2 linked regions of the Nothobranchius furzeri genome follow. Each later gene encodes a partner of the first gene's protein in a complex. Links are inferred from orthologs where the notes say so. Each region holds a gene or a part of one and is shown on either strand. Other genes may lie near its edges.

Evidence for each region. Proteins that work in one complex are often made in the same cells at the same time.
Region 2: the proteins of ints2 (region 1) and ints6 are in contact, whole or in part, in a cryo-EM structure (PDB 8RBZ), measured with the Homo sapiens proteins. The link is inferred for Nothobranchius furzeri from reciprocal best matches to the Homo sapiens genes INTS2 and INTS6. Residues at the interface, in NP_065799.2 of Homo sapiens: Ile855, Asp856, Pro857, Leu858, His895, Arg923, Glu925, Leu926, Lys927, Ala929, Leu930, Ala932, Ala933, Gln934, Ser936, Ala937, Gln940, Ile941, Glu944, Asn1010, Lys1013, Leu1014, Phe1017, Gln1018, Gly1019, Tyr1020, Pro1021, Ile1046, Ala1047, Gln1048; in NP_036273.1 of Homo sapiens: Ile484, Val486, Arg487, Ser488, Arg489, Phe527, Gln528, Val529, Ala530, Leu531, Leu532, Asn533, Phe541, Arg542, Asn543, Ala544, Tyr545, Ile547, Arg549, Leu552, Leu553, Leu556, Met559, Arg560, Asn562, Leu563, Leu564, Lys565.

What each region holds. Positions count from the first base shown.
Region 1 is NC_091750.1:42,354,364-42,358,014, forward strand, and holds part of ints2 (integrator complex subunit 2), read right to left. Parts: intron 3,635-3,651; coding exon 3,530-3,634; intron 3,448-3,529; coding exon 3,283-3,447; intron 3,141-3,282; coding exon 2,939-3,140; intron 1-2,938. UniProt on the Homo sapiens protein: Component of the integrator complex, a multiprotein complex that terminates RNA polymerase II (Pol II) transcription in the promoter-proximal region of genes.
Region 2 is NC_091754.1:31,110,603-31,114,253, reverse strand, and holds the end of ints6 (integrator complex subunit 6), read right to left. Parts: intron 3,415-3,651; coding exon 3,288-3,414; intron 3,202-3,287; coding exon 3,059-3,201; intron 2,981-3,058; coding exon 2,791-2,980; intron 2,711-2,790; coding exon 2,333-2,710; intron 2,213-2,332; coding exon 2,119-2,212; intron 611-2,118; coding exon 517-610; 3' UTR 303-516; downstream 1-302. UniProt on the Homo sapiens protein: Component of the integrator complex, a multiprotein complex that terminates RNA polymerase II (Pol II) transcription in the promoter-proximal region of genes.

The sequences.
Region 1 (3,651 bases):
ACATACTTGGTGAAGAATGCACTAAACACAGATTTATTGCTCACAGATTGACTCTCTGATGTGAAGGGGTGGTTGGCAGCCAACTTAGACTAAGACTGAGGCCATTGTTTTTGACTCCAGAAATGTGTAACCCATGTGACTGACGCACCTGGAGGAAGCTCCTCAGTTAGTGGACTTTCCCCTTTGTTAACATCCATACATTCAGGCCATTAGAACTGATCTGCATGGATTTCTTGTCATTAGAACCAGATGGGCGTACCAAAGATATTCAAGTTATGACTGACCATGTCGCCAAGTACGCCATTGCTGTGCCAACACCGAACCAAAAGGCAAGAACAAGGCTAAATGTCTATGGGATAATTTCTTGGTCCACTATGGGTTCCCTGAAATCTTCAAAGCGACCAAGGCCCAGACTTTGAAACCAAGGTTATTAAAGATCTATGTCAGATGGTGGGTATTCACAAAACTCATACTACTCCATATCATCCCAGAGGAAACCCAGTAGAGCGTTTTAACAGGACCTTACTAGACATGCTTGGGACTTTGAATGATGAACAAAAACACCATTGGAAAGGGTATGTCAAACCCCTGGGACATGCCTATAACTGCACTAGAAACGATGCCACCGGTTATTCCCCTTATGAACTCATGTTTGGCTGCCAGCCTAGACTCCCTGTGGATCTGGCGTTTGGGTTGCCGATGGGTAACGGTCCTGTAAATCACTCCCAATACATCCAGGAGCTGAAAGCCCATTTGGAGGAAGGATACCGGTTGGCCAAGAACAATGTTCAAAAATCGATGGATAGTAACAGATTCAACCAACATGTTACACCCCGAGAACTGAATGAGGGAGACAGAGTTCTGGTGAAGAACGTTCGGAAAAGGGGACGACAAAAGCTAGCAGACAAGTGGGAGTCGACGGTGTACATTGTGGTAAAGAAAGCCAGCAACTTACCTGTGTATACTGTAAAGCCTGAAAGTAAAGCTACCCCACTCAGGACTCTGCACAGAGACCTCCTCCTTCCCTGTGGGTTCCTGTTTCCACCTGAGCCATCACAAGCTGTGAGGGAGGGCAGGAGGGCTACCATTGTCTCTTCTTCTTCAGCTAATCCTGAGACTACAGTCAATGAGTTGGATGATCAAGGGGTCTTGATACCTATTTCTGCTCCAATGGAGCCACAGCGATTCACCACCGTCATTGTTGTCCCTGTTCAACCATCTGTCTCCCCTGATGTCCCATTGACTGTGCCTTGTCCTTTACCCACCGTGTTATCAGATCCCGGGACTGCTGTAAAGGAGCTGGTGACAGGGGAGTTTCCAGTGGAAACAGATGCAGTGGAGGAGGGTCAGGGAGGAGTTGTCATGGAAACTGCATCCCTTGAGAATTCTACATCAGATAAAAGGTCCTCTCCAATTAAAACTTATGAACCAGTTATTGCCACCTTGGAACGGGATCTGATAGTGCCTGCAGACCATGACAGTCCTGAAATTGAACCGACACTTCGTTGATCCACTCGTTCCAGGCAACCCACCAGAACGGCTACAGTACTCCCTCCCTGGGAAACCCCCGCTGGACAGTGTCCAAAATCTGCTCCACGGCCTGAGTTCAGCCTTTACGGCCATCCTGCAGGACAAGAGCTATATGTTACCTGGTTTGAGTTAGAGGACGGACCTGTGGAAAAGGGGGGAGAGTGTAACCCATGTGATTGACGCATCTGGAGGGAGCTCCCCAGTTTGTGGACTTTCCCCTTTAAGAGGAATGCTGACCTGCTAATGAGCCAGCTGTTGTTGCTCCAGGTGGAGTGATGAATCACAGTCACTGTTGCTTCAGGGTTTGGTCTTCTCTGCCAGTCTTCAGTGCTTGCTAAAACCTTCAATTCAGCTTACCTGAGGGTGCAGTTGATTCACTGTTCTGAGAGGAAGAAACTGAACCGTACCATTTTAAAAGGGTAGCACTTTGGCAAAGTTACAGGAGTGTTGGTAAGCTGCACTTTCATCTTCCTCAGTTACCGATGGAGCCAATTTACTTGTTTTATTTTCTAATGTTATACTTACCGTCATAGATCCTCCCTTTTTGCCTAATCGAGGCCAAAGTTTGTGTATGTGTTTCTACTCATCGGTGAGTAAACATATTCATTTATCTACACTGATTAGCTGCATGATCCAGTGTTGCTTGGAATATTTTTAGTGTCTTGAGATGTTGGACAGAATGTGGTTTATTGTTTTCACATAAGTCCTGTCCAAAGATATTTGACCTAAGCACTTGTTTCCTGTGTGGGGAAGCTCAGCTGAGCAATTAATCAAATTGAGTGAAACAAACATAATTACGTAATTAAGAAAAATGTGAATGTGGACCTCCTGGAAATTCTGTGGAGAACCTGAATGATTTGTGATATTTTGTACATATGTAAATATGTAGAATTAATAATTTCCCTTTCTGGCTTTTGTTTTAGGTCAGGTTTTTGTGTGGATTTATTTTCCTTTTCCCTTTACATTCAGTTCATCCCAATCACCGTCTTGAATTTTCCTTGGATGGCGAGCCACCCTTGAACCAATTGAACTGTGGAACCCTGGATTGATGTCACAAGGAAACGAGCCCTTGTTCATGCAGATGAAGTCTGAAACTCTTCAAGGAACTGATGGACGGTCTATTGGTTATAATGTTTTTTGTAAATATATCACTGCTTATTTGATGTAAACTGTTTCACCTTGTGAATATTCAAAATACACTTTGAATGAAAACCCCTCTTATCAGTTGACTTTTTGCCCATACTGGTTATTGACTCCTTTGTTGAACTTAGTTTTGGTTACTAGTTATTCCATCTACTGGTTATAAATCAGATTAGCGCAAGCTTTTGTCAAGGGGTTACAAATGTATTTATTGAAAATCCTCGGGCCGCTGCACTAAGAAACATCTCCTTGTATCCAGAGCACATACCTGCGGGGCATCACCGTGTTGAGGCCCATCCACAGCTTGTTGAGGGTCTGGATCAGGCGCCGAGGCACAGCGGGCTGCAGAAGCAGGGACATGCTGGCTGTGAGAGCCTCAGCATAGGGGATGAGGTCTCCAGGTGAGAGCAGCGTTAGATACTCCAGGATCCGCATGAGCCTGGGACTGCTGGAGGGCAACTTCTGGAAAGCTGGATTAGAGAAAACAGAACAGATCTGGACTCATCTTCTCTGAATATCAGTAGCTTTATATCCAATTCTTTAGTGTCTAAAATGAGTCACAACCAGTGGAAACAGCTCATTGAACCAGAGCTGATGCTGTTTCCGTCATACCCTGGTGAAGCTGGTTCTGGGTGTATCTGCGGGCAATGAAGGGAAGCATCATCCTCCTCAGCAGAGGCAAGGTACCAGTCACCTCCTCCTCACACACCCAGTCTTCCACCAGACACAGGTGGGGGTAGTTAGTGGCAAGTAGTCTTAGTAGAGCTGAGTGCAAACCTGAAACCACACAACGTTATTCAGATTTAGGTTCTTCTTTCTCATTTGAACCAACTAATGTGGGTGAGAGTTTTAACCTCACCCCCCAGCTCCTGCTGCAGCCCCTGGGCCTGGGTCACCAGGTACTTAATGGGGATTTGGTCCATCAGAGCTGCTGAGTAGGACTTTGGCTTCCTCTTCATTAGTGCTACAAAGACCAGATAC
Region 2 (3,651 bases), on another chromosome or scaffold:
AAGGGTTATGGAGAGGAAAATGATCAACGGATCCTTTTCGACCCCGAGTTATCAGAAAACAAGCACACACCTCTCAGACTGAACTCTTATTCTCCCGAACACGTGGTCACAAAAACTAAAGTTTTCAGGCTGCAGCTGCCCTCTGGTCCTCTCCACGAGAGTTTCGTCCTCTCTCCGTTTAGGAGATACTCGTTTAAGTAAAAGAAAACTGTGACCACGTGAGTTAGCGAGGAGAGGCTCAGGCAGCAGCTGCAGTCAAACGTCCAACAGAACATCTGGTTGCATAGGCTTCACCCGCAGCAGTCACCACTTCCTGTTCATTCTCGCAGCCATCTGAACCATCCTCCAGGGTCAGATCTGCCTTTGGTGATGGGTCAGCCTGGACCAACGCGGCCACCTTAAATGTTGGCGGGCTGGCTGAAGTGGCCGTGGCTCCTGGGCTGGATTCTGTCTCCTCAAGGGAACTTCGTGTTTGGGCTTTACGGGGGACGGGGGCGGGTTTGGGCTCAGCCGGTCTCAGAGCGAGTCCACGTGGTTCATGTTATTAGATCTGTTGTGGATTTCCTCAAGGAAGTTCTCCAGCTGCTCAATCAGAACGCGTTTCTTGAACCTTTGAAGAGAGGAAAAACAAAAGTCCTCCTTCAGTCACGGGTGAATAAACTTTCATATATTCTGACTTTTCCACGACGCGTTGTTCAATCTGTTCCATGTTTGCAGCTAGATATCGTTTTATTTTTTGACGAGGCGATGGCCATAGACATTAAATACGTCATCCTCTGCGAGCTTGCCAGAGAGCCCGCGTGTTTCGTATCTCCATAACAACGCAGACAGAGAAGTATAATCTAGGCTTTAGCGTCTGACGCGCTCCAGCTCCGTAGGAGGGAGGGACAAACATGTAGGAGGAGTCCTTAAAGATGGAAAATGTGTGACGGTTTGCAGATTCACGAACCTCCATGACTGGAGTCATTAAACGCTGCTTCGACTAGCGGTTAGCTCTTCAGTCCTGCTCTGTGACTCCAATTATGAAAATCATTTATTTATTTTACATAAACTAAAGCATCATTTATCAGTGTCTATGACCACATTCTTGTTTTTACCTGACGACGGTGCATCGCTGATAGTTTTAGGCAGAATATTTAAATTTTAACTGCGATGCACTAAAGAGCAAAACCATTGACTACACGTGTGTGCAGCACAATCACACTCATTTATATAGTTTATCAGCAAAAAAAATGTTGATTTGGAGTAACTTGCTCTTTAAAGAGCAAGTTACTCCAAATCAACATTTTTTTCCAATAAACTATATAAATGCATGTCTAATCGTGCTGCACACACGTGTAGTCAATGGTTTTGCACTTTAGTGCATCGCAGTTAAAATTTAAATATTCTGCCTAAAACTATCAGCGATGCACCGTCGTCAGGTAAAAATTCTGCACTGCATTTGAATTTAAATCTGCCGTCGCTATTGGCTAAGAGGTGCACTATGATGTTAGATGGTACATCATGATGTCACAATGTCGTGTGTGTGTGTGTGTGTATTTGTTAGCGGCTCCACCCTCTCGGTCTGCTAGGCAACAGCATTTGTTGCATTTTTCAAACAGGAAGTGGGAGTGGAGTTAGACTCTGGTAGGGGTTGACTTGCTTTTTAAATAAAATATGCAGAGAAACAGAGCTGAAGCGGACTTCCGGCATTGCCATGGAAACACGTAAACACTGAATGCTAACTAAATAGCGCCAGCTACACGGTTATAATCAGGCAACTGGCGGTCTCTATTTTAGTTCTGATAACTTTGTGGTCCTCGTAGGCATGAATAAATATCTCTCAGTCTGGGAGAAGAACGAGGCTCAGCCTTTCCCTTTATCATTTATCTAGCATCGATTAACGGGGGCTGCCTCCGGAAGTGCGTGAGCCTCGCTTGCCGCGCCTCGCTTGAATTAGAGAGGACTGAATCCACCCGAGCATCGTTCGTGGAGCCGACAAAGTAAACAGGTGCGCCATGTCAAGCAGAGATTTATCAGGAAAGCCTCGATGTTCTGAACTCACCTTCTGTAACACCCCCCCCCCCAATCTTTTTGCTCGTAGCTCATAAAATCACAGCAAATAAGAATTCCGAGTACCTGGCCGCCTCTTTGATGATGTTTTGGAGGAAGATGAGCCGCGTGTCCAGAGTTCCCTGGATTTGCTTCAGGAGAAGAAATATCTTCTCGTAGTCTGAAACAAACCAAGCAGAAGGAACAAACATCAGCTTGTACAGGTCAGAGTTTCAGGATTATTTAATCTCCCAGGAAGTGACTCAAACATCAGATTAACAGAAGTCTCTGGTCTACACACGTCTGCCAGGTTTCCTGATCTCCTTGGTGATGAGTGTCCTCAGCTCGTTGTTGACTTTTGTCGTCTCGGTGTGAATGTGCTTCTTCAGGGCGGATGGTGAGAGGAAGCGGGGGGGCGGGTCCTCTATCAGAGCCCTTTCCACCCCTCCCTCGAGGCTGGGCAGCAGCTCGCCAGCACGCTGCTGCCCGCTCTCCTCCTCCTCCTCATCGTCGTCCATGTGCCGAAGGACCTGAGCCTCATCAGAAGTGTGGTTCTCCTGAAGGTCTGCTGGTCCTGTGTGGAGGTCCATCTCCAAGTCAGAGCTGCTGTCTGACCCATAGTGGTTCTGGTTTAGGTGGTTAATGATCAGGTCAGGAGAACCGTCATTTATGTCCGTTTCTATAAAGCAAGGGATTGGAGAGATGGTTTAATTTCTGTGGTCTACTTCTGGAAGTCGTCAGGGTAGATTCTGGTCCTACCTGATGAGTGCCGGGGACTGGCAGAGGGCGATACCGGAGGGGTGTAGGCCCGGCCCAGACGCAGCAGAGGGGACATGCAGCGACGTCTCTTTGGACCCCCACCCGGCATGTTGATGTTGTTGTCTCCAGGTCGCTTGCCTTTGTTCTGAGGACCGGTCACAAACTCGTCCGCCTCATCGATCATCATTCCCTGTGTGAAAAATCGGGTCAGCATCACCTTTCTGGATCCAAACATCCACTTTATTCCAGGCGAATAGGCAGGACGTACCTTCTTGTCCAGTTTAAAGGGGTTTCCGAACGTGTGCAAACGTTTGGGCTGCTCAGGATCTGCATCTCGAAGTGGCTGGGGGGCAGCTTTGAGGAAGTCTTGGTAGTTTCCCATCTGGGCGATTGGCACACTGTGGAGCTGGTCTGGACACGTGGCATCAACGATCGCTAGTGACTTTTTGTTTTTCAGAAAATAGCAAAAATAAGTGAGGTGCAGAGAGCCTTCTTACCAGAGTCCTGTCCTCTTAGAGTGCAGACGCTGGTGTTGAGCAGGTTTCTCCTCATTCGGCTAAGCTGGTCGAGGAGGTGGCTCCGAGGGATGTCGTAGGGATTCCTGAAGCTCTGCGGCTTCAAGCCCTGAGAGCAGAAGGTAAAACAGAGGATGTGAGAAGAAACTTCCACACAAGCTCACAAAAACATGCAAACATCTGAGATCCACCCTCCTCTCTGCAGATTTCAGGGACCCAACCCAGAGAACTTAAAGACCACCTTACAAACATCGGTGTGTTTATGCTTGACGCATTTACTTTCCGCTTGGTGATGCGGCTCGCGGATGGAACGCGCTTCACAACTTGCAGCGTTTATGGTTCATGC